Macaca mulatta: one gene and its partners. The main gene of each other region encodes a partner of the protein of the gene in region 3 in a complex. Links are inferred from orthologs where the notes say so. Each region holds a gene or a part of one and is shown on either strand. Other genes may lie near its edges.

What was found.
Region 1: MED7 (region 3) and MED12 share a complex: the UniProt entries of both Homo sapiens proteins name them as parts of the mediator complex. The link is inferred for Macaca mulatta from reciprocal best matches to the Homo sapiens genes MED7 and MED12.
Region 2: the proteins of MED7 (region 3) and MED31 are in contact, whole or in part, in a cryo-EM structure (PDB 7EMF), measured with the Homo sapiens proteins. The link is inferred for Macaca mulatta from reciprocal best matches to the Homo sapiens genes MED7 and MED31. Residues at the interface, in NP_001094286.1 of Homo sapiens: Met15, Gln16, Tyr17, Ile18, Lys19, Tyr21, Thr22, Asn25, Ile26, Lys33, Pro34, Pro35, Pro36, Pro37, Ile38, Lys39, Asp40, Tyr42, Met43, Met44, Phe45, Gly46, Gln48, Gln50, Asp52; in NP_057144.1 of Homo sapiens: Asn14, Arg15, Leu16, Arg17, Phe18, Gln19, Leu20, Glu21, Leu22, Glu23, Phe24, Gln26, Tyr33, Phe36, Leu37, Tyr42, Asp45, Ala47, Phe48, Asn50, Tyr51, Tyr54, Tyr57, Glu62, Tyr63, Lys65, Tyr66, Lys68, Tyr69.
Region 4: MED7 (region 3) and MED25 share a complex: the UniProt entries of both Homo sapiens proteins name them as parts of the mediator complex. The link is inferred for Macaca mulatta from reciprocal best matches to the Homo sapiens genes MED7 and MED25.

Annotation. Positions count from the first base shown.
Region 1 is NC_133426.1:77,580,114-77,587,340, forward strand, and holds the start of MED12 (mediator of RNA polymerase II transcription subunit 12), read left to right. Parts: upstream 1-3,451; 5' UTR 3,452-3,480; coding exon 3,481-3,579; exon of another isoform or gene 3,580-3,656; intron 3,657-4,098; coding exon 4,099-4,203; intron 4,204-4,410; coding exon 4,411-4,602; intron 4,603-4,738; coding exon 4,739-4,895; intron 4,896-5,704; coding exon 5,705-5,886; intron 5,887-6,060; coding exon 6,061-6,171; intron 6,172-6,295; coding exon 6,296-6,550; intron 6,551-6,931; coding exon 6,932-7,078; intron 7,079-7,227. UniProt on the Homo sapiens protein: Component of the Mediator complex, a coactivator involved in the regulated transcription of nearly all RNA polymerase II-dependent genes.
Region 2 is NC_133421.1:8,130,332-8,137,831, forward strand, and holds the start of MED31 (mediator of RNA polymerase II transcription subunit 31), read right to left. Parts: upstream 4,294-7,500; 5' UTR 4,194-4,293; coding exon 4,166-4,193; intron 3,380-4,165; coding exon 3,302-3,379; intron 3,022-3,301; coding exon 2,925-3,021; intron 185-2,924; exon of another isoform or gene 1-184. Other genes in the region: C16H17orf100 (uncharacterized protein C17orf100 homolog), read left to right, coding at 4,578-4,955. UniProt on the Homo sapiens protein: Component of the Mediator complex, a coactivator involved in the regulated transcription of nearly all RNA polymerase II-dependent genes.
Region 3 is NC_133411.1:166,002,039-166,008,755, reverse strand, and holds the end of MED7 (mediator of RNA polymerase II transcription subunit 7), read left to right. Parts: intron 1-1,616; 5' UTR 1,617-1,633; coding exon 1,634-2,332; 3' UTR 2,333-4,209; downstream 4,210-6,717. UniProt on the Homo sapiens protein: Component of the Mediator complex, a coactivator involved in the regulated transcription of nearly all RNA polymerase II-dependent genes.
Region 4 is NC_133424.1:62,292,692-62,299,391, forward strand, and holds part of MED25 (mediator of RNA polymerase II transcription subunit 25), read left to right. Parts: intron 1-796; coding exon 797-959; intron 960-1,098; coding exon 1,099-1,229; intron 1,230-1,532; coding exon 1,533-1,620; intron 1,621-1,716; coding exon 1,717-1,910; coding exon of another isoform or gene 1,911-1,960; intron 1,961-2,306; coding exon of another isoform or gene 2,307-2,355; coding exon 2,356-2,484; intron 2,485-2,958; coding exon 2,959-3,044; intron 3,045-3,122; coding exon 3,123-3,180; intron 3,181-3,330; coding exon 3,331-3,438; intron 3,439-6,320; coding exon 6,321-6,527; coding exon of another isoform or gene 6,528-6,540; intron 6,541-6,700. UniProt on the Homo sapiens protein: Component of the Mediator complex, a coactivator involved in the regulated transcription of nearly all RNA polymerase II-dependent genes.

The DNA of each region.
Region 1 (7,227 bases), on a different chromosome or scaffold from region 3:
TTCGGTGCAAAAAGAAATGAGCTATTAAGGCCGTGAAGAGACATGGGAGAAAACTTCAATGCATATGACTAAGTGAAAGAAGCCATGCAGAAAAGGCCACATACTATAGGATTCCAACTATAAGACATTCTGGAAAAGGGCGAAACTATGGAGACAGTAAAAAGATCAGTGGTTGCCAGGGGTTGTCGGAGAGGGAAGGATGAATAGGTGGAGCAGAAAAAGATTGTAGGTCAGTGAAAATATTCTGTAAGATACTACAATGGTGGACACATGTTACTCTTTTATCCAAACTCACAGACTGTATAAGATAACATCAAGAGTGAACTCTAATGTAAACCATGAACTTTGGGTAATGATGTTCAAGGTAGGTCCATCAACTGTAACAAATATACCATCTATGTGTGAGGGCAGACAGTATATAGGAATTCTCTGTACCTTCCTCTCAATTTTGCTGTGAACCTAAAACTGCTCTAAAAAATTCTTTTAGGGTCGGGCGTGGTGGCTCACGCCTCTAATCCCAGCACTTTGGGAGGCCAAGGCAGGCGGATCACGAGGTCAGGAGATCGAGACCATCCCGGCAAACACGGTGAAACCCCGTCTCTACTAAAAAATGCAAAAAAACTAGCCGGGCATGGTGGCAGGCGCCTGTAGTCCCAGCTTCTCGGGAGGCTGAGGCAGGAGAATGGCATGAACCCGGGAGGCGGCGGAGCTTGCAGTGAGCGGAGATCGCGCCACTGCACTCCAGCCTGGGCAACGGAGCGAGACTCCGTCTCAAAAAAAAAAAATTCTTTTAGTCCGGGTGCTGTGGCTCACGCCTGTAATCCCAGCACTTTAGGAGGCCAAGGTGGGTGGATCGCTGGAAACCAGGAGTTTGAGACCAGCCTGAGCAACACAGCAAAACCCCGTCACCACCAAAAAAAAAAAAAAAGCAAAAATTAACCAAGTGTGGTGGCTTGCGCCTGTGGTCCTTGGTACTTGGGAGGCTGAGGTGGGAGATTTGCTTGAGCCCGGGAGGTGGAGGTTGCAGTGAAGTGAGATTGCACCACTGCACTCTAGCCTGGGCCACTGAGTGAGACCCTGAAGAAGGAAGGAAGGAAGAAGAAAGGAAGGAAGGAAGGAGGGAAGGAGGGAGGGAGGGAAGGAAGGAAGGAGAAAAGAAAAGAAAAGAAAAGAAAAGAAAAGAAAAGAAAAGAAAAATTATCTTTTAAAAATATCCTTCAGGTCGGTGGCTCACGCCTGTAATCCCAACACTTTGAGAGGCCGAGGCAGGTGGATCGCCTGACCAGCCTGACCAACATGGAGAAACCCCGTCTCTACTAAAAATACAAAAAAAAAAAAAAAAAAGGAAAAGAAAAAATTAGCCAGGCATGGCAGCACATGCCTATAATCCCAGCTACGCAGGAGTCTGAGGCAGGAGAATCGCTTGAACCAGGGAGGCAGAGGTTGCAGTGAGCTGAGATCGCGCCATTGCACTCCAGTCTGGTCAACAGGAATGAAACTCCGTCTCAAAATAAATAAATAAATAAACAAATAAATAAATAAATAAAATATCTTTCAGGCTGAGCGTGGTGGCTCACACCTGTAATCCCAGCACTTTGGGAGACTGAGGTGGGAGGATCACTTGAGGTCATGAGTTCGAGACCAGCCTGGCCAACATGGAGAAACCCCGTCTCTACTAAAAATACAAAAATTAGCCAGGCGTGATGGCGTGAGCCTGTAATCCCAGCTACTGGGGAGGCTGAGGCAGGAGAATCACTTGACCCTGGGAGGCGGAGGTTGCAGTGAGCCGAGATCATGCCACTGCACTCCAGCCTGGGCAACAAGAGCAAAGCAATAAATAAATAAAAGCAATAAATAAAATAATAAAGAAATAAAACAAAATAAACAAAAATAAAAATATCCTTCAGAGTTAGTTCAAATGTTACCTCAGCCTCCCAAGCAGCTGGCATTACAGGCGCCCACTACCACACCAGCTAATTTTTGTATTTTTAGTAGAGATGGGGTTTCACCACGTTGGCCAGGCTGGTCTTGAACTCCTGACCTCAAGTGATCCACCCGCCTTGGCCTCCCAAAGTGCTGGAATTACAGACGTGAGCCATCGCTCCCGCCTTGAATTACTTTTTCTTTCCATTGTGATTCAATAGCATTTTATTTTTGTTACTGGTGTTATTTTTGTTTATTGTTATTTGCTACTTTTGTTATAGTACACTGGCTGTCTTTTCTCTAGAAGGCAATACAAGGCCGGCACAGTGTCGCACGCCTGTAGTCCCGGCTACTGGGAGGCTGAGGCAGGAGGATCGCTGGAGTCCAGGAGGTTGAGGCTGCAGTGAGCCGTGATCGCGCCACTGCACTCCAGCCTGGGTGACAGAGGGAGAATCTGCCTCAAAATAAATAAACAAATAGCAATACGACAATAGGATATTGGCTCTGGAATTGAGAATCTTAGTGCCAGCTCTGTTACTCAGTAGCTGTATAATACTGGGTAAGTGAATTTTCACACTTTGAAAACCAGCTTCCTCATCTGCAAAATCGAGCCAATAATAATCCCTAACTCATGAGGCTGTGAGCAGATTAAAGGAGATAGTGTCTGAAAAGCATCTGACACAGTAGGTGCCTCTTTCGCTAGACCAAGGGTTCTTAACCTGGAGTTCATGGACCCTTAGGGGATACATGGATGAGCTTCAGGGGATCTAAGAATCTAAAGTAACATTTTGCATGTCAATATATGCATATTATTATTATTTCTGGGAAGAAGGTCCATAGCTTTCATTAGCACCTTTAAGGGTTTGTGAATCAAAAAAGTTACTCTGCGGTACCCTTGGGCAGAAAAAACAAACAAAAAAGGTTAGACAACTCGATGGTAGACCTTGAGGGATTAGAGCCAGCCTTTCAGGGTTTAATAGGTTCTTTCTCATGCATACGTAGTTTCTAATGTTCACAATAGCCCCTTGAAGGAGGTGTTAGCGCACCTATTTTTCAGATGCCGGAACTAAGAAACGAACTGATTTGTAATAGACGGAGTTCCTAACCAATGCAAATATTATTGAAGACTTTTCTAGGCCAAAACCGAGCTAGGCTCTGGGAACCGAATTCCAGTCAGAACTCAGCACCACAGAGGCCTCCCTCTTCCCTGGTTTGCATCCCCAGCTCACTCTGCGCCTCCGGAACGTTTCGTAGATTTTTGCTGAGTGAAATCAACTTACCGCCGCCGCCGCCGAAAAACTCCCGGGGCACGGAGCTCCGCCCCCACCGGGCCAGGCCCCACCCCCTCTGCGGTCGGTATTGTCCGATGGTTCCCGGCGTCCCTCGGCTTCCCTCGGTAGTTTCCGGCAATGGTCGAGAGTTTCTAACGTGCCCCCTTGTTGTCTCTCGGCCGCCGTCCTCTCAACCACCGCCCCCCTTTTCGGCTCCCTCTCCCCCTTCCCGTTCCCCCAGTCAGCCTGGCCCTGCTGGCGCCTCCGGCGCTACGGGCTGGGCAAGATGGCGGCCTTCGGGATCTTGAGCTACGAACACCGGCCCCTGAAGCGGCCGCGGCTGGGGCCTCCCGATGTTTACCCTCAGGACCCCAAACAGAAGGAGGTGCGTTCGAAAATCGGGGCTCTGGAAGGGCCGGGGGCACGCGGTCAGCCTAGGAGGAGGCATTGACGTCTGGGAATGGGGGGCGGGGCGGTTCGGTGAGAGCGAAAGTCCCGAAAGGGGGAAGAGTAAAGTGGGCTGGCGTGGGAGGGCAGGACGGGGCGCGGTGGGGGGTTCCAAGGTATGAATAGGGGGTGGTGTAGGGGCCGCACCAGAAGCGCCCTCCTCCACACACATCTCAGAAAGTTGTCTGAGACAGCTTGGTGGGGTACGGCTGCTCGGATGTTCGCAAGAGAAGAGTGATGTTTGAGGGCGCCCTGGGTGATTGGGAATCGTAGTGACCATGGGGGTGACGGTGGGGTCCAAGTGAATGTAAGGGCCCAGCTTTAAGTAACGATCTGTGCTACACGGAACCCTCCTCCTGCCCTTTCACCTTGTTCCTTCGCTTCTCCTGCCCTACTCTCCCATCCCCTCCCCCTCCCCCTAAGGAAAAAACAACTAAACGCCGCTTTCCTGCCTCAGGATGAACTGACGGCCTTGAATGTAAAACAAGGTTTCAATAACCAGCCTGCTGTCTCTGGGGATGAACATGGCAGTGCCAAGAACGTCAGCTTCAATCCTGCCAAGGTGAGACAACTCTGCCAGGCTGAAGGAAAAGGCTGGAAGAATCTGAGAAGGAGCAAAGGCCCTGGGTAGGGAAGACTTATAGGGACAACCTAAGTGGCTGAGTTTGCCTTCATGACCTAATGCTGTCTCATTGGCATTTGCCCAGCAAAAGGCAGGCCACCTGTCTGCCCCTTCTTCCCACCCTGAGGTACAGTTTTCTTCCCTCAGATCAGTTCCAACTTCAGCAGCATTATTGCAGAGAAGTTACGTTGTAATACCCTCCCTGACACTGGTCGCAGGAAGCCCCAAGTGAACCAGAAGGACAACTTCTGGCTGGTGACTGCACGATCCCAGAGTGCCATAAATACTTGGTTCACTGACTTGGCTGGCACCAAGCCACTCACGCAACTAGCCAAAAAGGTAAGGTACTGTTTCCTGTCCTTCAGGCCAAGGAGGGAGCATAGGGTACCAAGTATCCTCCTATTCCCATATTAAGCTACATGGGTGTCAGCTCATGGGGATAATAGAGACCTCACTATTTGCAATGTCCATCCAGGTCCCCATTTTCAGTAAGAAGGAAGAAGTGTTTGGGTACTTAGCCAAATACACAGTGCCTGTGATGCGGGCTGCCTGGCTCATTAAGATGACCTGTGCCTACTATGCAGCAATCTCTGAGACCAAGGTTAAGAAGAGACATGTTGACCCTTTCATGGGTGAGTAACTCCTAACACCAGGTGTACGGCTGATGGCTTCAAGGAGGGATAGAGACACCCTTGCAAACATCCTCCTTCTTAATCTAGATTCCTTGTTTCTGCTTGTTTCTTGCATTTGCTTGATCAGTAAACACTGAGAAATTTGAGTGTCTACTGTGCACATATACTGGTCTACAAAAACGTCCAGTGCATAATCTCTGCCCCTAGGATACTAGTAGTCTAACAGGGCTGCTAAGGTATATGTACAAATAACATAATTAAATATAGAAGGTGGTGAATGTCAAGCTAGGAGCAGAAGGTTCTTTGAGTGGACAAAAGATTACTTTCTTATGGGGATACCCAGAAAGGCTTTAGGAAGGTGGGATTTGACTAGAGACAAAGGATGAACTGAATTTACAAATATGGTGGGTGATTGGGAGTGGGGTAAGGTATTCTAAGTAGAAGGATATTCTTTTTTTTTTTTTTTTTTTTGAGACAGAGTCTTGCTCTGTCACCCAGGCTAGAGTGCAGTGGCAGGATCTTGGCTCACTGCAACCTCCACCTCCCGGGTTCAAGTGATTATCCTGTCTCAGCCTCCCAAGTAGCTGGGATTACAGGTGCCCACCCCTGCGCCCGGCTAGTTTTTGTATTTTTAGTAGAGACGGGGTTTCACCATCTTGGCCAGGCTGGTCTCGAACTCCTGACCTCGTGATCCACCTCAGCCTCCCAAAGTGCTGGGATTACAGGCGTGAGCCACCGCACCGGCCAGTAGAAGGAAATTCTAAGCAGAAGGATAGTATCAAATAGCCCTTTTTCCCTGTTTCCTCCAGAATGGACTCAGATCATCACCAAGTACTTATGGGAGCAGTTACAGAAGATGGCTGAATACTACCGGCCAGGGCCTGCAGGAGGTGGGGGCTGTGGTTCCACGATAGGGCCCTTGCCCCATGATGTAGAGGTGGCAATCCGGCAGTGGGATTACACTGAGAAGCTGGCCATGTTCATGTTTCAGGTAGGGAGTAGGGCATGCTGTGTGGGGCATTAGGTTGAGCCTGAACTTGTACTCTGCCAATAGAGAACAGAATCTGCTTGCCACCTTGCCCCAGTTGTGGTTCTCTTCATCTTTTCATTTACTTTATCTGCTTCATCTCTAATAGTCCCCTCTTCCCTCCCCTGGTACCCATAGGATGGAATGCTGGACAGACATGAGTTCCTGACCTGGGTGCTTGAGTGTTTTGAGAAGATCCGCCCTGGAGAAGATGAATTGCTTAAACTGCTCCTGCCCCTGCTTCTCCGAGTAAGGCTTGGAATTTTGGTGGTGGTGGGGCAGGGGGAGTCTAAGAAGGATTTAAGGAAGAATAAAATGTCAGAGCAGGGTCCCCTGGAGAGAACTAGGGGCTCTGATGGTCATGTCTTCACAGTACTCTGGGGAATTTGTTCAGTCTGCGTACCTGTCCCGCCGCCTTGCCTACTTTTGTACACGGAGACTGGCCCTGCAGCTAGATGGTGTGAGCAGTCACTCATCTCATGTTATATCTGCTCAGTCAACAAGCTCGCTACCCACCACCCCTGCTCCTCAGCCCCCAACTAGCAGCACCCCCTCGACTCCCTTTAGTGACCTGCTTATGTGCCCTCAGCACCGGCCCCTGGTTTTTGGCCTCAGCTGTATCCTACAGGTAGGTACTAGGCGGGCCCAAGGAAGCATTGAGAGATAACCTGAGAAGAATTGGGTGCCCATCCCAGAGTATAGGGGTAATTCCAAATTGGATGTGGGAGTAGGTGCTGAGTACTTGCTTGGAGGTGGTGGTTTCTTGGTAATGGGGTGTTAGTCCCCTTTGGGGGTTTTGACCAGCCTCTCTCTCCCTTCCAGGGCTAAATAGTAGGCCCAGAGCCTTTTAGGAAAGTGAGTGAAGGGAGGGGATCGGGTGGAGTGATGCCTGTCTTGGGGGCCCAGTCAGAATAACTTTGGATCTGGAATCTACGGGTTTGGTCTTAGAATGGGATTCCAGAGGGGTAGCCATGTGAACGAGTTGGACTTAGCTGTTTCTATCTGGCAGACCATCCTCCTGTGTTGTCCTAGTGCCTTGGTTTGGCACTACTCACTGACTGATAGCAGAATTAAGACCGGCTCACCACTTGACCACTTGCCTATTGCCCCCTCCAACCTGCCCATGCCAGAGGGTAACAGTGCCTTCACTCAGCAGGTATGTCTGACCACTCGCCTGGTACTCTCAGATTGGGCTATGAGGCTAAAGTGCTCTCTCAGAAATAGTGATTTGGAGTCTGGTACTATTCTTCTAGCCTGGGGCTCTGGCCTTTTGTATGCCTTGGTACATCCTTATAGCCTTCCTTT
Region 2 (7,500 bases), on a different chromosome or scaffold from region 3:
ACAGATTCCTTTGCTCACATGTTTCCCTGCTGACCTTCTCCCTACCTGTTGCCCTGCTACACTCGCCTCACCAAGATAGTAAAAATAATGATCAATAAATACTGAGGGAACTCAGAGACCGGCGCCGGTGCAGGTCCTCGCATGCTGAGTGTGCTGTTCCCCTGGGCTCACTGTTCTTTCTCTATACTTTGTCTCTGTGTCTTATTTCTTTTCTCAGTCTTTGGTCTCCGCCTGACGAGAAATACCACAGGTGTGGGGAGGCAGGCCCCCTTCAGGAAGAAAGCAGATAAAGCCAAAGTTGCACAAGTGATATGCAAATGACTCAAGTGTGGAAAATAGGATACTACAGCAATGATTCTAAAACTTTAATGTGTATATGAACCACTTCTTAAAATGCTGATGGATTCCTTAGGCCTGGAGTGGGGCCTGAGCTCTGCATTTCTAAAAAGCTCCCAAATGAAACCAATGCTGATGATGTGAACACCACATTGAATAGAGGGCTTAACACATGCTTCTAAGATAGTAACTTCCAAGACATTAAAGGTTTGCTATCTACGCAATGAAAATACACAGTTGCTCTAATTGTTGGTTGCTTATGCTAGAATGCTCTATTCACACCTGCCCTGGCTAACTCCCTTTCATGACAGCATTAGTAGTTAAAATGAACCAGGATGTAAGTTCCAGCCGGGTGGCCTTCAACAAGGTACTTAACCTCCCTAAGGTTCAGTTTCTTCAACTGTAAAATAATGTGACAACCAAGAGAATGGTCTCAAGCAGCATTTAGTCAGTAACTAGAATTCAGACATGCAGTGATTACATCAGAATACATTAGATGACAGTAAAGAATCGTACTCTGATAGGCTACATGTCCACAAGATGAAACAGCGGCAGTATAAAAGGGAAGTTCCACATTCGGTGTTTTTAAAAATAAACAAGATAGGGAGAACATTGATGAAAATAACTGAAGGATTTTAATTGACGTAATGCTCCCAGCAAGTCAACAATGTGATCCTCTCCCACCCCCACCCTCAAAAGTAACATAAGGTATATGTCCACGTGAAGAAAAGAAAGGACCTCTGGCCCACTGTACTCTGACCACACATGAAGGCCTGTGTTTAGTTCCTGGCTGAACTGCATAAAGTACCACTGCCAAACATCCAGCGGAGGGAACCTGAACTCCGGGACACCACGGCACAACGGCTGAGGGTAGTTGAGAAACACAGATGGAGAGAGATGTTATAGTGACACCTACTGGCTACCAACGAAGCAGGCCAAGTGGTAGAAAGTGTCCCTTCCACCAGCTGGAAAGCAGCTAGTAGTGACAGCTGCTCTCAGCTTCAGCCAGTTGTTGACTTGGGAGAATTAAGATCTATGGTTACTAGATCTTCCAGATTTGAAAGAGTAGCGGGAAATCTGCATTTGTTATATAAAACTTTCTGATCTTCAAATGTTGGCAAGTATTAAAAAAAAAAAAAAAACTAAAATCTTCTGCAGACTGAATAAAATGCCCAAAAGGGGCTAATCTGCAATCTCTCTTGAATGTAAGTATCTGGAAGGTTGTTGTCCTCAAGAGGGTATAGAATGGTTCTAGCTCAATCCAGGGACAACCAAGTTATCAAAATTAATGTCACCAGTAGTGGGACAAATAGACTTCATGTGACTGCAGATAGATGAAGGATAACACTACAATCAGACTAGAGCTACAAGGAGAGACATTATATCACAATATAAGGAATAACTTTCTAACATCTGGCTAACAATCAAATCAGCTGTCCCTGACAGAGTAACATGGGCTCAGTGAAAACCTCCAGAGTGTAGATGACCATCTCTCGGCAACGTTTTGGGTAAGATTAAACTTGTTGGTGGCTAAGGCTTCCAACACTGAGTCTGTAAATCTACATACATACAACATTTGTTGAAATCTATTTTTCTTAAAAGTCTTTTCTTTGGATTATTAAATGGATAAAAAGCCAGAAAAGGTGCAAAGGGTCCTGAAGGCAATATAAGATGTATATGCTTCGTGAGTCAATTGTTATTGGACACAGAAAAGTGACTTCGAAACAAGTTTGAAACATTTTCCTCTCAAACTTTTTTTTTTTTAAGGTTCACTATTGCTTTCTACCTGCTTAAGACAAAGCAGGGATGAGTTCAAGGTGTTTTTTTTTTTTTTTTTTTAATCATTAAAAGGGAATAGGTTTGTGGTTATATGCTTCTTGCAATTCAGTAAGCCTTAACACAAAAGTGTCGCTGAATGACCTGAATGGTAAATATATATATATATATATATAAATGAGTTAATGCATATGAAGCATTTAGCACTGTTTCTGGCACATAAGAGGCCTTAAATAAAAGATAGCAACTCTAAGACTCAGGTTAACATCACCTCCTCCAAATAACCCCAGAAACACCTTCCTTACAGATACCCTCTTTTAATTTCAGCCCATGGCTTATGTCACTTCATTTACAGACTGTGAGTTCTTCGGGACCAGAAACCTGGTGAGATGGGGAGGGTGGTGAAAGACAAGGTCAGACAAGGCAGGGCCAGATCATATAGGGCTTTAGCCCAAGAAAAGAGACTGGATTTTATTCTGCATGGTATGGAAAGTCATGGAAAGGTTCTAAGCAAGAAAGTAAAGTGTTCTGATTTATATTTTTAAATGACTAAGTTGGTTTCTGTGTAGAAAGCTGTTTTGCTTGGTTTGGTTTGGGGTGGGGGGGGGGCAGGAAGGTAAAAGTGGAAGCAGAGATAACCAGGGAGTAGATTACTGCAGTGATACAAGTTAGAGATGAGAGTGTCTTGTGTTAAGATGGTGACAACGAAAAGAAGTGGAGAGATTCCAAATACATTTTTGCCAATGTGAAACGAAGAAATCTATCATATCATAAAGTATACACATGCTTAGGATTATAAAAATTAAACTTACTTTAGATACTTGGCATATTCTGGGTCTTTCCAGTAAAGCAAGTATTTAAGATAATTAACAAAAGCTTTGTCTTTGAAGTAACCTCTTTGGGCAAGAACTGAAAAGCATTAAAAAAAAAAAATGTCTGTAGGTCAAACCAATCTTTAAACTATGCTTTGTTACCCCTAATGTAAAGGATCTATTTACATAAAACCCCCACCACCAACACACATTGAATTCAAAACACAAATCCCAGTGCGCAATTATATCTATATACCAGCATAAGTGTAATGTCATTCAATTGAGAATGTGTAAAAGTAGATACTATTTTGAATTGCAACTCTTCTGTCAGAAATCATTAGTAGCTACTCAATTTAATGAGGTGCTTAACAACTTACAATTAAGGTAATTTGGGTTGGCTAAACATTGCACAAATTCCAACTCCAACTGAAACCGAAGTCGATTTCCAGCATCATCTAGGAGACAAGACAGCAAAAATCATGGAAAGTAAGGGTCACTGTATATAATACTGATTTGTAGTAAGGAAACAGCAATAAAGAAACCTGACTAATGCCGAGATGGTCTTCCTAAACTGGGAGTTGGGGGAGATAAACCTTTCTTCGAAATCTAAGAAAAGCGGAGCCCTGATTAAAAGGAGTTAGAAGTTTCTCTAAAATTAAAGAGAAATCATCAAAGAAAGCAGCAACACAAACGGAGAATTCCTAAGATCACTAAGGTAGGCTGTAACAACTATGGCTTCCCCTATGTTAATAATGCGTTATAACAATTGTTAACAGTGATTAAGTTTTGCAAAAGCTACGTGCTGAATCAGTTAAGAAAAAGTTAGGATGCAAGAGACTGCGCAGAGCCTAAAAGATCATGGAGCGTATGCATATAAGAAGCACCAGTAGCAGAATGACACATAAAGTCCGGCGACGATATTTCAAACTTAGGCAAGCTCATGTGAGAAGCAGAAAACCAATCAAGGAGGAGACGGTTTAACACACAAGTCCTCTCCCTTAGTCTCACCCACGCCGGGGAGCTGGTAGGGTGGTGTCTGAATAGCAAAGATGTGCGAACAAACCAAATTAGGAAAACTGCAAAGAGTACCTTAGTCTTTCTAGACGCTACAAGAGCCTTCTCACCTCCTTGTCCAAATATTAACCCTGCCGAGAGTAAGGCCTGGAAGGAGGCCACGGGGAAGCCGTCTGGACCGAGGGGAGTTCCATCTGCGAAGACTCCAAGATCAGAGAGCTACTCACCTGTCTCCATAGCGACGGCAGCGGCCATAACAAACGAAGACACCAAAACGCCACCAGCCTGACCGAGCAAAAGCCCAGAGTGGCGGGGGAAGTTCCGGAAACCACGGCTCTCTCTTCCGGTCCCGGGGCACTGTGGGATATGGGGCCGGGCGGCTCCGCCCATCCCGCCAGCCCTGGGATGGCTCCACCCGCGCTGGCTCCAAAATAGCGAGGGGGCGGGGCCCGGGCCGTGGGAGCGCCTGAGGGGCAGGAGCCCAGTGTTTTTAGCCTTGGAAGGATCATGGTGTTTCCACGTCATCGTGTTGTGGCGCTCCCGGCTATGGCAGTACCGTAGTTTTCCTCTCTTCTGCCTGCGGTGACCGTTGGGCTGGGGGGTGCCCCGAGGCCTCCTTGGCCCCCTCACGCCGGCAGAATGGCCTCAGCCCGAGGGGCCAAGCAGTCTTCTCCCCGGGTGGGGACCACCCGCTACACAGAGACGTCCACAGTCCGCGTGGAGACCTCGTCCCACCGTGTGGAGACCTCGTCCCACCGCGTGGAGACGTCGTCCCGGCGGGTGGAGACCTCCCAGCGCCGCAGCGAGGGGCCCTCCCTCTCCCCCTTGGGGAAGCGGCTCCCTGGCATCCTCGAGGCGTCCTCCCGGCACGTGGAATCCTCCTCGCAGCGCACGGAAACGACGTCCCGCCACATCAGGGCCTCGTCCCTGAGGGTGGAGACGGCTCTGCACTGCGCGGAGAGCCCAGCCCCGCGGGCCAAGCCGGCCGCCCGCCAGAACGAAAAACCGGCCCGATGAGATGCTGCTTCCCAAAGGCCACCAAGGGGCCAGGGCCCTCAGCCAGGACAGAAAGGCCTCCAGTTGCCAGCCAGCCAGCCAGCTGCCAGGTGGACCAATCATTTTCGGTTTCATGGAAACAAACCATAAATCAATGGAAGAAACAGCCAAGCCGCAGTTTCTGAACACAGCCAACGTTTATTGACCATCCTGCGTCTTGGACCAGCCTACTTTTGACCCAGTGAACTATTTTCACTTGAAGCCAGCACAAAAGATTTTCATGCCCAGGATGCTGTCTAAATTGGCTTGATGGACAAAGAGGCTGTTTGAGCCTCTGAGCCAGGTGAGTTTGGGATCCACAGCCCTCAGAAGACCTTCACCCCTTAGGAACAGAGACCAAACTGAAATCATGACCTGTGGAATGATTCCATGCCTGCTAGAAACTTGAGGGGCAAGGAACAGACTCATAAATTATTAATGGCCTTTGTTTATGTTTCAAGGTAACTGGTGGTTTTCTTTATGCTAAGTCTTTGTACCTGGCACTCCCATCCATACACTTTTTAAAGGTAGGTTAGATGTAGTTAAAAATGACAGTAAACCCACCAGCAAGCAAAAATAATCTTAGAAGAGAAAGTGAGAGGAGGCCATTGAAACCTGGTCTGAGGTTTGAAGAAGATGGAGAAGAGTCATATTTATTGAGAACCTGCTCTGTGCCAGGTACTAGATGTTCCTCCACTTACAATGGGGTTACCTCCCATTAAAACTATTGTAAGTTGAAAATACGGTAATTTGAAAAGGCACTTAATATCCCTAACCTACTAAACATCATAGCTTAGCCTAGCCTACCTTAAACATGCTCAGAACACCTAACGTTGAGCAAAATCATCTAACAGAAAGCCCATTTTATAATAAAATGTTGAATATCTCATGTAATTTATTGCATACTGTACTAAAAGTGAAAAACAATGGTTGTATGAGTGCTCAAAGTACTATTTCTCCTGGTCGCTTTTGTACCATTGTAAAGTCGAAAAATCATAAGTCAAACCATCTTAAGTTGGGGACTGCCTGTATTCTGGGAACTTGGGCTATAGCAGTAAAAAAAACCAAAGTCCCAGCTGTAGTGGAGCTTACACTCTGGTGAAAAGGCCGACAAGCAATGACAAAACGAGACAATTTTCTATTGTGATTAGCACTATGAAGGAAATATATGGGTCATGTGATAGAGAATGGAAGTAAGAGGCTTCTTTTGATAAAATGGTCGGGGAAGTCCTTGCTGATTAGGTAACATTTAATCTGAGATATGTGTGAATGAACAGTGATCTGGAACATGTGCATTCTAGGCAGAAGAACAGCAAATACAAAAGCTAGAAGGGAACAAGCTTTGAATGTTCAAGGAACAGAAAGAAGGCCAGTGTGGCTGGAGGGAGAGAGAGGCGATTATATAGACATGGAAGCAGAACTGAAGGGAGGAGTTAGAAGCAAGCAGGGGCCAGTCCACAGAAGGTCTTCTAAGCCACAGAAAGGAATTTGAGATTTATTCTAAGGTCAATAGGAAAACATTGAAGGGTTTTCAACAGAGGAATGATATGATGCCATTTACATTTTATGTGGGACAGTGGTCCTCAACTAAGTGTGATTTTGACCCCAGAGGATATATGGCAACCTCTAGAGACATTTTAGTTTGGTAGACAAGTTAGGGGGAGTGGGTAGCACATTAGGTGCTACTGGCACCTAGTGGGTAGAGGCTGGGGATGCCACCTCATATCCTACAGTGCACAGGTCAACACCCTTCCCTCTGCCAACAATGAAGAATCACTGGTCCCAAAATGTCAATAGTGCCGAGGCTGAGAAACACAGTTCTAGCAGCTTGGAAAGCTAGAGCATGGTCCATTAGGACAGCATGCCACTTCTACATAGCAGGATTGTAGTGAGACCTAAGAAACAGTCATGGAAGAGGGTTGACTTTAAAGGTAAAGAGAAATCATTAAAGAAAACAGCAGCACAAATCGGACACAATACCTACCACTTGTGGGCCACTGTGTAGGAATTTTAACAGTGATCACTAAGGTAGGCTGTAATAACTGTGACGTCCCCTATTTTAATAATGCATTGTAACAATTGTTAACAGTGATTAAGTTTTGCAAAAGCTACCTGCTGAGTCAGTTAAGAAAAACTTAGGATGCAAACTGAACAAGAGACTCCAAAGAGCCTAAAAGATGATGGAGCATATCATATGTAAGAAGCACAAGTAGCAGAATGATACACAAGTCTGGCGACGATATTTCAAACGTATGCAAGCTCATATGAGAAGCAGAAAACCAATCAAGGACACACTTTAAGACACAAGGAGGACATGCTTTAAGACACAAGTCCTCTCCCTTAGTCTCACCCATGCTGGGAAGCTGGTGGGGTCGTGTTTGAATAGCAAAGATGTGCGAACAAACCAAATTAGCAAAACTGCAGAGTACCTTAGCCTTTCTAGATGCTACAAGAGCCTTCTCTCCTCCCTGTCCAAATACTAACCCTGCCGAGAGTGAGGCCTGGAAGGAGGCCCCGGGGAAGCGGA
Region 3 (6,717 bases):
CGGAGTAACATGGCAAAACTCTGTCTCTACAAAATATACAAAAATTAGCTGGGCGTGGTGACATTTGCCTCGTACTCCCAGCTGCTTGGGAGGTTGAGGTGGGAGGATGGCTTGAGCCTGGGAGGTCGAGGCTGCATCATCCTATGCACTACTGTGGCATGGTGGAAACTCAGGGCTGCACCACGCCTGCCCTTAGTACCTCACGAATTCTAAGTATAATATTGCTTCTAATAGAATACTTGCCCCACCTGATGTTAGAGGGTGTTATATCTTGAAACTTTGATAATACCAGTGTAAAGGAGCACTTCAGAATCTTCTCATTGGATGGTATATCTAGGCTTAAGGTAGAGTAAGTAGAGGTTATTATGGCCATAGAAGATACTGGGTTTGAACCTGGGGTTTGAAATTTCTGTGATAGTTGTAGGGAAGTTAATGTGTCCATACAGGCCGGGCGCGGTGGCTCACACCTGTAATCCCAGCACTTTGGGAGGCCAGGGTGGGCGGATCACCTGAGGTGGGGAATTAAGAGACCAATTTGGCCAACATGGCGAAATCCTGTCTCTACTAAAAATACAAAAATTAGCCGGGCATGGTGGTGTGCGCCTGTAATCCCAGCTACTTGGGAGGCTGAGGCAGGAGAATTGCTTGAGCCCAGGAGGCGGAGGTTGCAGTGAGCTGAGATCGCACCACTGCACTCCAGCCTGGGCATCAGAGCAAGACTCCGTCTCAAAAAAAAAAAAAAAAAAAAAAAAGTTAATGTGTCCATATAAAATTGCATAGTTTACTGTGACAAAAAGGATATGGAACTGAATCATTTCATTCAGGAACTTTGGATAATACCATGTCTTTAGGATTTAGCAGTGTTAATTTTGTCAGTGTTTATGAGAGATACAAGTAAGTGTTTGCTATTGGAAATCAATCTGTAACATAAAGCAAAAGTGATTCTGATATGAGATTGGGAGACAACGTGTAGTTTGGTTATGGAGGAGTAGAGAAATGGGGGCATAAATGGTGAAGGGTGTGGAATCCAGAAGATTTTCTTGTTTTTTTTTTGAGACAGATTTTCGCTCTGTCGCCCAGGCTGGAATGCAGTGGTACAGTCTCGGCTCACTGCAAGCTCCGCCTCCTGGGTTCACACCATTCTCCTGTCTCAGCCTCCTGAGTAACTGGGACTACAGGCACCCGCCACCATGCCCGGCTAATTTTTTTTGTCTTTTAGTAGAGACAGAGTTTCACCCTGTTAGCTAGGATGGTCTCGATCTCCTGACCCTGTGATCCGCCTGCCTCGGCCTCCCAAAGTGCTGGGATTACAGGTGTGAGCCATCGCACCCGGTGGAAGATTTTCTTTAGAGATCAGAAGATGCTACAGATTTTTTCATGCTGATGAAATTATTAGGGAGAGAATGGAAAATATGTGAATGGTTGAGAATATAATGCCTACTTAGAAAATATGGCAAACTTTACCTATCATAAATGTTAGTTTTAGAAACCAAGGAGATCATCTTGTCTTGGACCCCAAACTACTGGAAGAAAAGGAAGAAAATATTCTGTCTGTAGTTATGAAATGTAACAGGTTTGTTTTGTGGCTCTAATAAATCTTTGGTCTGTGTCCATAGGTTCTTGATAGTCCACAATGGGTGAACCACAGCAAGTAAGTGCACTTCCACCACCTCCAATGCAATATATCAAGGAATATACAGATGAAAATATTCAAGAAGGCTTAGCTCCCAAGCCTCCCCCTCCAATAAAAGATAGTTACATGATGTTTGGCAATCAGTTCCAATGCGATGATCTTATCATCCGCCCTTTGGAAAGTCAGGGCATCGAACGGCTTCATCCTATGCAGTTTGATCACAAAAAAGAACTGAGAAAACTTAATATGTCTATCCTTATTAATTTCTTGGACCTTTTAGATATTTTAATAAGGAGCCCTGGGAGTATAAAACGAGAAGAGAAACTAGAAGATCTTAAGCTGCTTTTTGTACACGTGCATCATCTTATAAATGAATACCGACCCCACCAAGCAAGAGAGACCTTGAGAGTCATGATGGAGGTCCAGAAACGTCAACGGCTTGAAACAGCTGAGAGGTTTCAAAAGCACCTAGAACGAGTAATTGAAATGATTCAGAATTGCTTGGCTTCTTTGCCTGATGATTTGCCTCATTCAGAAGCAGGAATGAGAGTAAAAACTGAACCAATGGATGCTGATGATAGCAACAATTGTACTGGACAGAATGAACAAAGAGAAAATTCAGGTCATAGGAGAGATCAGATTATAGAGAAAGATGCTGCCTTGTGTGTCCTAATTGATGAAATGAATGAAAGACCATGAAAGATGTTTATGTTTCTTTTTTCCTTTTGATAAATAGCCTCATATATTAGTTTATTTTCTTTTGGACAGTCTTAAGAGAGGTTTCAGTAAAAATGTAAACAGCTTTAATCTTGACTCCAACTTTTTCAATTATGAGATGTCATAGGCAGTAATTTCACTGTATAACAAGCATAGACAAATGAGTACCCCTGCACTAAGAATAATCACTTTAAAAAGCAAAGTGTTCACCGCTGTTGTATGGGACATTTCTATGTTTTGGAGTTGCAGTAAAACTTTGATGATAACCTCAGTAATAGCAAAAGTTTTCGTCTTTGAAAAGGGGATTTATCATTTGCTTTAAGAATGATAGAGGAATAATGGATATCAATCTATAAATGTAAAACTATGATATCTTTAAACTTATTCCATTAAAAATTTTGCTTAAGCTGCAAAAGGTAGTATAACATGTTAATAGAGAGGAGCCCAGAAGAATTATAAAACAGAAACTTTATTTTTTCCTCATGACTGCTCCTGTAAACCCACTATCTCAGTCTTTTCTCCCTATCCTGAATGGACTCTTGCAGGCAAGTCCCATGAATTGTTTTTATCACTCAGGTAATAAGTCCTTTGGCCATTTTAAGTTACAGACATTAATTTTAGTAATTAAGATGTCTATGTCATTAGCTACACATTTTCTTTAAAGCTAAGCCCAGACTTGCTTAAGTCCACAATGGGAAAGGGGTTTGACGGCAGAGACTGCTAGGTGTCTACCAGAGAGTCTTGTTCTTTGAAGATACGTTGCCAAGATGTGGCAACCCAACCAGGGACATTTCCGTACTGCCAGCATCTCTGTGAGAACATATGATTAAGTTCTAGGCAGTGAAATGTGGGCATAGGAATCCAGGCTTGCCCCATAAACATTTCTTGCATGATCCTCCATTCTTTTCTCCCAACTGCTGGTTGCATGGTCATATCCAGGATAAGTTTGGAAGCCACCGAAGATGGCAAAGATTGTCAGTCTGGGTCTTTGAATGACTGTGAGGACTAAGTCTTCTTTTCATTAACTCCACTCTGCCCCTCACTAATTGGACTTTATGTGAGCACTTTCTTCTCCCCACTGTCCATCACCTCTTCCACCAAGGTGTTAGTAGAGAGTTGACTTTGTTTCTGAGGATCTTTGCCTGCCATTTTCTTAATGTAGGCCAGTGGTTCTTAAAGTGTGTGGTCCTGGACCAGCAGCATTGGTACCATTTGGGGACTCACTAGAAATAAAAGTTTTAGTATAATCCATAGGTTCAGAAAAATAAAAAATAAATGAAGTTTCTCTAGCTCCATCCCAGACCTTTTCAACCAGAAAGTTGAAAAGACCAGCGGGGGCAACATAGTGAGAACTTCTCTCCATTGCTATTTAATTTTAAAAGGAAAGAATATAGGGTATGTTGATTGAAGGATAAGTTGAATATATAAACCATGAGGAGGACAGAAAGTGTCTGAAGTTTTGAGTTAGTAGCCCTGGAGACCATCCTTCCTGTGAGCTTCATTCTCTTTACTGATGAACTTCTTTAATGATGTAGGTGGAGAACATGGCAACTAACAGTTCCCATGTGTTAAGCATTTCTATGTTTACCACTGTCTGGGAGTTCGCTCTCAAATACGAAAAAAAATGAGGTTAATTAACGACCTAGACATGAGGAATTAGGGATTGCATACTTGATTCCAACTGGGCAAATCAACTGGGACTTGGCTCCCAGAATAATTTGACAGTCCCCACTATGTCTATGTATGGAAGAGTCAGTCTGTCTCAGAGGAAGGAAGTGGTGCTGAACTAACAACGAGATATCCACTACAGATCAGGCACGTGTAAACTTAATATAAATAGCAAAAATAAACTGTACAAATCTGTGTTCTCTTTATGAGAGTAGTTTTTCCCCAGCTATTCATTTATTCATGGTATTCATTTGATGAATACTTACTGTGGTCACCTCTATGCCTGATGCTAGTTTAAGTGTTGGATGTGTCGGAAGGGCGAAGGAAAATGTAACTAAGAAAACGAATTGATTTTTGAAGGTGATAGTTTGTGTCTTAACCATTCAGCCATTACAGCACCTTCAGAAGAATCTTGCTTCCAGTTATGTTTCTATTGTCTGTTCAAATCACCTTGTCCACATTATCTTCTCTTTTCAAGGCATGTGTACATGTTCACTTCTTTTTTATCTCTTAAAACTTTTTTTTTTTATTTTTTGAGATGAAGTCTCATTCTTTCGCCAGGCTGGAGTGCAGTGGCGCAATCTGGGGCCACTGCAACCTCCAACTCCCAGGTTCAAGCGATGCTCCTGCCTCAGCCTCCCGAGTAGCTGGGACTACAGGCACGTGCCACCATGCCCACTAAATTTTGTATTTTTGGCCGGGCGCGGTGGCTCAAGCCTGTAATCCCAGCACTTTGGGAGGCCGAGACGGGCGGATCACGAGGTCAGGAGATCGAGACCATCCTGGCTAACACAATGAAACCCCGTCTCTACTAAAAATACAAAAAAATTAGCCGGGCGAGGTGGCAGGCGCCTGTAGTCCCAGCTACTCGGGAGGCTGAGGCAGGAGAATGGCGGGAACCCGGGAGGCGGAGCTTGCAGTGAGCCGAGATAGCGCCACTGCACTCCAGCCTGGGCGACAGAGCGAGACTCCGTCTCAAAAAAAAAAAAAAAAAAAATTTGTATTTTTAGTAGAGAAGGAGTTTCACCATGTTGACCAGGATGGCCTGGATCTCCTGACCTCGTGATCTGCCCGCCTGGGCCTCTCAAAAGTGCTGGGATTACAGGAGTGAGCCACCATTCTTGGCCTAAAATTTTTTTTTTCTCTTTGAGTAGAGATGAGGTCTCACTATGTTACCCAGGTTGGTTTCAAACTCCTGAGCTCAAGTAATCCTCCAGCCTCCCAAAGTGCTGGGATTACAGGAGTGAACCACCATGCCTAACCTCACATTTGTTAAGGACTTTAGAAGACAACTTTGCCAGGTATGGTGACTCACACCTGTGATTCCACCACTGAGAGACTGAGGCGGGAGGATCACTTGAGTCCAGGAGTTCGAGACCCACCTGGGCAACATAGGGAGACCCTGTCTCTACAAAGAAATGTAAAAATTAGCTGGATGTGATGGCACATGCCTGTGGTTTCAGCCATTCCAGAGGCTGAAGTAGAAGGATCACTGGAGTCCAGGAGGTCAAGGCTGCAGTGAGCCACGGTCATGCCACTGTACTCCAGCCTGGGTGACAGAGCAAGACCCTGTCTCAAAAACATAAAAGAAGGCAGCTTCAACTCATGCACTGAGCTCCAAGATTACTGGGAACGGCAGGTGCAAATATCTCACGAGGAGATACAAAGTTGGCATAACTTGGATGAGAAAGGCTATGATGGCTACAATATCGTGAGGGAGGAGGTTGGAGCTTGAGAAGCAGATGGAGGACAGATGTATATGATTTAGAGGGTCAAGGGAAGGAGTTGGGTTTTTATTTGAAATCTGATGAGAAATTATGTTTGCAATTGATTTCTCATCAGATTTTACTAAAATACAGAGAATCAGTAGGAAGGGTACTAGCTGTCCTTTGATAGCTTTCTAAGTACCACAAATTGTGCTAAGTGCTTTGTAGCCATTCTCTTCTTTAGTCCTTGGAATAATCCTATGAAGAACCTTCTAAATCTGTTGGGATTTATGGCTGTAAGTGGCTGGCAATGTTTGAAGCTGTTTGTATAAATAAAGTCATTTCAGCCTTACAGCTATTTAATGAAATCAGTATTCTTTTTACACTTACATTTCAGATGAGGAAGTGGAGGGTCAGGGAAGTTACATAATTTACCCAAGATTACCTGACTAGTGAGTGGCAAAGCCAGAATGGAAACTAGGCATTCTAGTTTTCAAAGCCTGAGCGCTCAACCTTCATACTTCTTTGCCTCTCCATTCCCTCATGTTGTTACTAAGTCATGTAGGCAAATAAGTAGTGAAACCAAGAGTGGAGCCAATATTTTGACGCTAAAGTCCATGCTTGTAAATACTACTTGATACTGGGCTGAACAGATTTATAGATGGAAATTATGAGTTCCCTTTGAACATATTAAGGTGCTTATGTCTTAGCTTAGACTTCTGTGAGTATCTTAAGGAGATTCTGTGCTTATAACTCTAATCTTCCTAAAAACTCTTAGCAGGTATTATCCCCATTTTATGAGTAATGAAAATTGAGGATTAGAGTTTAGATTTGTTCAGGTTGGAATCTAGGTCAGGAATTGGCAAACTCTTTTGTAAAGATTCAATTAGTAAATATTTTAGGCATTGAGGACTGCACAGTTTCCGTTGCAGCTACTCAACTGCTGTGGGTCGAAAGCGGCCATAGACAATGCATAAACAAGAGAGCTCGGTT
Region 4 (6,700 bases), on a different chromosome or scaffold from region 3:
GGTTTGAGGCAGGAGGCACTGAGGGCCTGGACTCCTGGGTCTGAGGGAGGAGGCACTGGGGGCCTGGACTCCTGGGTCTGAGGGAGGAGGCACTGCGGGCCTGGACTCCTGGGTCTGAGGGAGGAGGCACTGGGGGCCTGGACTCTTGGGTCTGAGGGAGGAGGCACTGGGGGCCTGGACTCTTGGGTCTGAGGGAGGAGGCACTGGGGTCTGGACTCTTGGGTCTGAGAGAGGAGGCACTGGGGGCCTGGACTCAGTCACAGAATAGTCACAGACTGGCGACCAGCTTTGCTTACTCTCTTTTTTTGAAACAGAGTCTGGCTCTGTTACCCAGGCTGGAGTGCAGTGGTGTGATCTTGGCTTACTGCAGCCTCTGCCTCCTGGGTTCAAGCAATTCTCGTGTTTCAGCCTCCCGAGTAGCTGGGATTATAGACGCCCGCCATCACGCCCAGCTAATTTTTGTATCTTTAGTAGAGACGAGGTTTCACCATGTTGGCCAGGCTGCTTTCGAACTCCTGGCCTCACGTGATCTGCCTGACTCGGTCTCACAAAATCCTGGGATTACAGACGTGAGCCTCCACACCTAGCCCACTTAGTCTTACTGACAAAACCAGAACGTAGAGTCTCCCGGGGCAGGCAATACCAGGTTTCAGGGTCTCCTGCCTCAAAGCCCAGTGGGAATTGTGGTTGTAGGACTGGTGCTGTCCAGCCACACAGCAGCTGTGGTAGGTTGGGCGCTGGCCCCAACACCCCTATGGAGGGGGCCCGTCATGACTGCTGGGTCCCTCTCCTATAGCGGGGGATCCACTTCTCCATCGTCTCTCCCCGGAAGCTGCCTGCACTTCGGCTTCTGTTTGAGAAGGCAGCCCCCCCGGCCTTGCTAGAGCCGCTGCAGCCTCCGACAGATGTGAGCCAGGACCCAAGGCACATGGTGCTGGTTCGGGGGCTCGTGCTGCCCGGTGAGGCCTGGGCACCGCGCGCGGGGATCGGGGGCTCAACGTGTTTCCCAGCTCCCTCTGACTTGGATTTTGGATTTCTCTCCCCTTTCTCCATCTTGAATCCCTTCTTTCCGGGGTTGGCCATCCCTCCTGCTCTCAGTTGGGGGTGGCTCTGCCCCAGGCCCCCTCCAGCCAAAGCAGCCAGTCCCCCTGCCTCCTGCCGCACCCTCCGGTGCCACTCTCTCAGCAGCTCCCCAGCAGCCTCTGCCCCCCGTCCCCCCGCAGTACCAGGTATGGATGTTTCCAGGAAGGGACATGCTTCTGGGGACTTGCTGGAGCCCTGGCCCCTGGGGAGAGATCTAGTTGCATGTTGGAGCTTGTGGGATGATGGGAGTCCCATGGGACATTGGGAGGGTGGGACTCCTGGGGCCATGGAAGCTCATCTGCTAGGTGATGGGTGTCGTGAGCTTCTGAGCTCTCCCAGCTGGGGCAGCTGTGCCTTGTGGGGCCGTGGGTGGTGTGACCTCGTGGGACACCAGGATTGGAGGGCCATGGTCCTCACCAGTCCCTTTCCTTCTTCCCTTCTACCCACAGGTTCCTGGGAACCTGAGTGCAGCTCAGGTGGCCGCCCAGAATGCAGTGGAGGCCGCCAAGAACCAGAAGGCTGGGCTGGGCCCTCGCTGTGAGTCCTGGGGCGAGAATGAAGGGGCGGGCAGGGGCCAGGCAGGCCTCCCTCCACACACTTGTTCCTCACTTCTTCCCTTGGTCTCTCCCACAGTCTCGCCCATCACCCCTCTCCAGCAAGCTGCTCCCGGAGTGGGTCCCCCCTTCAGCCAGGCCCCAGCTCCCCAACTACCCCCAGGACCCCCTGGTGCCCCCAAGCCACCACCTGCTTCCCAGCCCAGTCTGGTCTCCACCGTGGCCCCTGGCTCCGGTCTGGCTCCCACAGCGCAGCCCGGGGCACCGTCCATGGTAGGTGCCTGCACACCTCCTGCCCCCACTCCTTCCTCCTGCTGCCCACAGCTAGGACAGTTAGAGGATGAGTCATTTGCCTTCCAGGGGGGTGTGGATCTGGTGGCCCTGGGGCCTTGGGGGTTCGTGGTACGTGTGCTGCAGATGCCTGAGATGAGGGTCTGGGGACGGAATGGGGAGGCTCATGGCTCCAGGTGGGTCAGGGCTGTTCTGAGAAACCCAAGGAATCCCTGGGTTTGGGAGTCCGGGGCATCACACAGCTTATGAGTCCTGGAATCCTGCAGCATCCAAGCATTTCGGGTCCTGGGGCTGGCCAAGTGCTCTTCTGGGAATGGATGAGCAGAAGAAGGGGCCTTTCCTTCTTCCTGGTTTGCCCTCACAGGATGGCCCCTGGAGGCCCCCCTCTTTCCCCATTCTCATGGCCCTCCTTCCTCCTCTCTGGCAGGCAGGCACTGTGGCCCCAGGAGGGGTGAGTGGCCCTTCCCCAGCCCAGCTAGGAGCCCCAGCCCTCGGTGGGCAGCAGTCAGTCTCCAATAAGCTTCTGGCATGGAGCGGGGTCCTCGAGTGGCAGGAGGTGAGGGGCCTGAGGGTCCATTGGGCACTTGGGACTCCTGGGGCCATGGGGCTGGGCATGTGGGACTCATGGGTCACATGCATGGGGTTTGCAATGCTGGGTTTGGGGGCATTCCTTGGGCTGGACCCGTGGGATCCGGGACCAGGCCAGGAGCCCCATGGCGCAGTGGGACTTGCGGTACAGAAGAGAGTCCCCATGCAAAGAACCCAGAAAAGCCTAGGATTTGGGGCCCAGAGAAGGGCCCAGGTGATGTAGCACCTGGGGCACAGTGGATTGTGGGATTTAGGGGCCGGGCACGTAGCCCTAACATTTGAGGAATTGAAGGTTTGCTGGTCTGGAGGAGGGGCCAGGGGCTCATGGGACTTAAACTGGGGAACATCCTGAGCTTTGGGGCCAGCAGGCTAGGACATGAGGGCTCAAGGGGACTGAGGCTTATGGCCCTTTTTACTTTGACATGCTCTTTTTCCCCCTCAGAAACCCAAACCTGCCTCAGTGGATGCCAACACCAAGCTGACACGGTCACTGCCCTGCCAGGTCTATGTGAATCATGGCGAGAACCTGTAGGTGACTGTCGGGTGGGGTGCGGTGGGGCTGGGGCTGGCCCCCTCCTCACACCTCTCCTGGCATCACCCCCCCAGGAAGACTGAGCAGTGGCCCCAGAAGCTGATCATGCAGCTCATCCCCCAGCAGCTGCTGGTGAGTGGTGGTGGAGGGCCAGCCCTGCTGCCAGGCAGCCCTCACCCTACTGTCTCTTCCCTGTTCCCTGCCCTACCCCCACTCCCTGCCTCGTGTCCCCACCTCACTTGCCCACACCAACATGCCAGCTGACTTCTGTGTCTCCCGCAGACCACCCTGGGCCCTTTGTTCCGGAACTCAAGGATGGTCCAGTTCCATTTCACCAACAAGGACCTGGAGTCTCTCAAAGGCCTCTACCGCATCATGGGCAATGGCTTCGTGAGTCCAGGGCATTGGGGGCCGAGGGGCATTAACTCTTGTACTGCTTTCTGCTGACCTTTGAAGGGAATCCCAGAGTGCCTGGGCCCATGGAAGCCGTTTTTGATGGTTGGGTGGACTTCATGCCCTTAGGTTCCTCGCCTTTCTTCTAGAGCCTTGACTTTTATTATAATCATCGTATGCACCAGATTGAGGGATATTCCACATTAAAAATGTGAGCTGGATGTGACTGGAGCAGTTAGGAGGAAGCTGTTGATTCTGGCATGGGTTTATGGGATGTGTTGGTTTCCTGTGGCTGCGGTAACACATTACCACAAGCAGAGGGGCTCAAAACAACAGAAATGTGTTCGATCCCAGTTCTAGAGGCCAGAAGCCCAAGGTCAGGGTGTTGGCAGGACCGCGCTCTCTCTAGAGGCTCGAGGGAAGGCCTCCTCATTGCCTCTTCTAGCCAGTAACCCCAGGCTGCAGGTGGCATCGCTCCAGGGTCTTCCTTGATCCTGTGGCTGTCTTCCCTCTGTGTGTGTCTCTATGTGGCATTTTCTGTATCTCTGTGTCCCTGTGCTTATAAGGACATCAATCATTTTGGATTAGGCCCCATTTTCCTGATCTCATCTTACTACAACTGCAAAGACCTTCTTTCCAGATAGAGTCTGGAAAAGGTGCTGGAGACTGGAACCTCAGTTTAGCTTTCTGGTTTTGTTTTTTGAGACAGAGTTTCACTCTTGTCACCCAGGCTGGAATGTAGTAGTGCAATCTTGGCTCACAGCAACTTCCGTCTCCCGGGTTCAAGCGATTCTCCTGCCTCAGCCTCCCGAGTAGCTGGGATTACAGGCATGTGCCACTATGCCTGGCTAATTTCTGTATTTTTTAGTAGAGACAGGGTTTCACCACGTTGGCCAGGCTGGTCTCGAACTTCTGACCTCAAGTGATCTGCCGCCTTGGCCTCCCAAAGTGCTAGGATTACCAGTGTGAGCCACCGCACCCAGCCTCAGCATAGCTTTCTGGGAGACACAGTTCACCTTGTAACTCGGGGAAGGAGCAGATCAGTTACTTCTGTGCACCAGGCATTCCTGCACGAAAGAGGACCTTAGGGATCACCTCATGGGATCCTCACAGAACCGTGTGAAGAAGGCATTCCTGAGAGTTAGGAGTGCTTCTGGCTGCAAATAACATAGTTTTCCAAACAAATAGATAATTGGGGGCACTCAGAAAAAATTTTCTCTTATGATTCTGTGAGTCACCTGGGCTCAGTGGCCATCTCGCTTGGGGACTCTCATGGAATTGCCATCAGATGGCAGCTGAGACTCTGGTCGTCTGAAAGCTTGACTGGGCTGGATGTTCAAAATAGGCGCTCCTCATAGGCCGGGCGTGGTGGCTCATGCCTGTAATCCTAGAACTTTGGGAGGCCGAGGTGGGCGGATCACGAGGTCAGGAAGATTGAGACCATCCTGACTAACACGGTGAAACCCCATCTCTACTAAAAATACAAAAAATTAGCCGGGCGTGGTGGCGGACGCCTGTAGTCCCAGCTGCTCCGGAGGCTGAGGCAGGAGATTGGCGTGAACCCGGGAGGCGGAGCTTGCAGTGAGCCAAGATCGCACCACTGCACTCCAGCCTGGGACAGAGCGAGACTCCGTCTCAAAAAACAAAACAAAACAAACAAAAACAGCTCCTCACACAGCACTGGCTGTTGGCTGGGGCTTGGCTAGGACCGGCCATCCCAGTGTCTGCACATGGCCTGTCCACATGGCCACACTGTGGCAGCTGAGTTCTGAGAGGACAGGCGTTGTAGGAGCAGGCATTTATTTTTTTGCACAGAACAGGACATCCAGAGGGGGCCAGCTATTGGGGTTGGTTTCATAGGTCTGTGACATCAGGGGCAGGGCCCTGTGGTTCTCTTGACCTCTCCTGTATAGTCACAGGGTAGCTCCCATGGCTCCAGGCATTCCGTATGCCTTCATGAAGGAGGGGAAGGGGGCTGTGTATTTCCCTTTCTTCAAGACAGCAGAGACTTTCTCAGATTCCCGAGCAGGCCTCCCTTTCACCTCCTGGCCCAGACCTAGGCCACTGGGCAGCACCTAGTTGATGGGAGGCTGCTGGGAGCAGATATCCATGACTGTCTGGGGCTGGGACATGTTGCAGCCCCAGGTGGCATTGGGAATGCAGGGGAGGAGGACACTTGGATTTGGATTAGGCAGCTAGCAGTGTCTGTCTCAGGCAGGAAACTGAGGCTCAGAGAAGTCAGCTCACTTGGCCTAGGTCAGCCTCGCCTCCCTCAGGAGCCCCTGCCCTGAATGCTCCATGTGTTACCCCCCTGATGACCAGTGATGTTTCCTGGGTGCTTCCTGTGGGCTGAGCCTCGGGCAGGGCTCTTGCTGTGGATCGGACATCCCATAGTCACAGCGACCCTGTGATGTGGGAGCACTCCCCGTGGGGTACACTGGCCGATGCTGAGGCCTGGAGGATCTCTTGAGGCCCGGGGTCCGACACCACCATTGATCACAGGCCTGTGGGTACCGACCGCGCTCTGCATCTAAGCCTCTCTGTCACGGCTGTGACTCTCAGCAGCCCTTTAAGGAGGCAGCCGTGGCATTTAATGCCCAAGGAAACTGGGGCATCCCATGAGGAGCAGGTGATGGCCAAAGGTTGAAGAGCTGGGCTCCAGCGCTTTCTCTCCACTTTCCCTCTCAGTGCGCAGCCAGAACCCCAGCTTGCCCTGAGTGCCTCAGTTTCTGTCTCTGGAGCAGCCCACAGCACACCTGTTCTCCTCAACCTTCTATAGCAGAAACCTCACCTCCCCTTGCCCAGGGGGCCTCTAGAATCTTCTCGAGTGGGGAGGGGGTCAGGGCTCCCTCTTTCAGGGCATAAATGGTTCTGAAGAGCTGTTGTCCACCCAGGCGGGCTGCGTGCATTTCCCCCACACGGCGCCCTGTGAGGTGCGTGTGCTCATGCTCCTGTACTCGTCCAAGAAGAAGATTTTCATGGGCCTCATCCCTTATGACCAGAGCGGCTTCGTCAACGGCATCCGGCAGGTCATCACCAACCACAAGCAGGTCCAGCAGCAGAAGCTGGAGCAGCAGCAGCGAGGAGTGAGTGGTCACAGTCCCCAAACCAGCACTGCGACCCCCTCCTGCCCGGGCCCCACATGGCCCCCCGGGATCTCCAGGACCACAGACGCCCACCCTTCTCCCAATACATGGCACCCCTAAGCTAAGTCCCACTCAGATTTTCTTGCAGTCTCTCTCCTTTTTCAGCACCCACA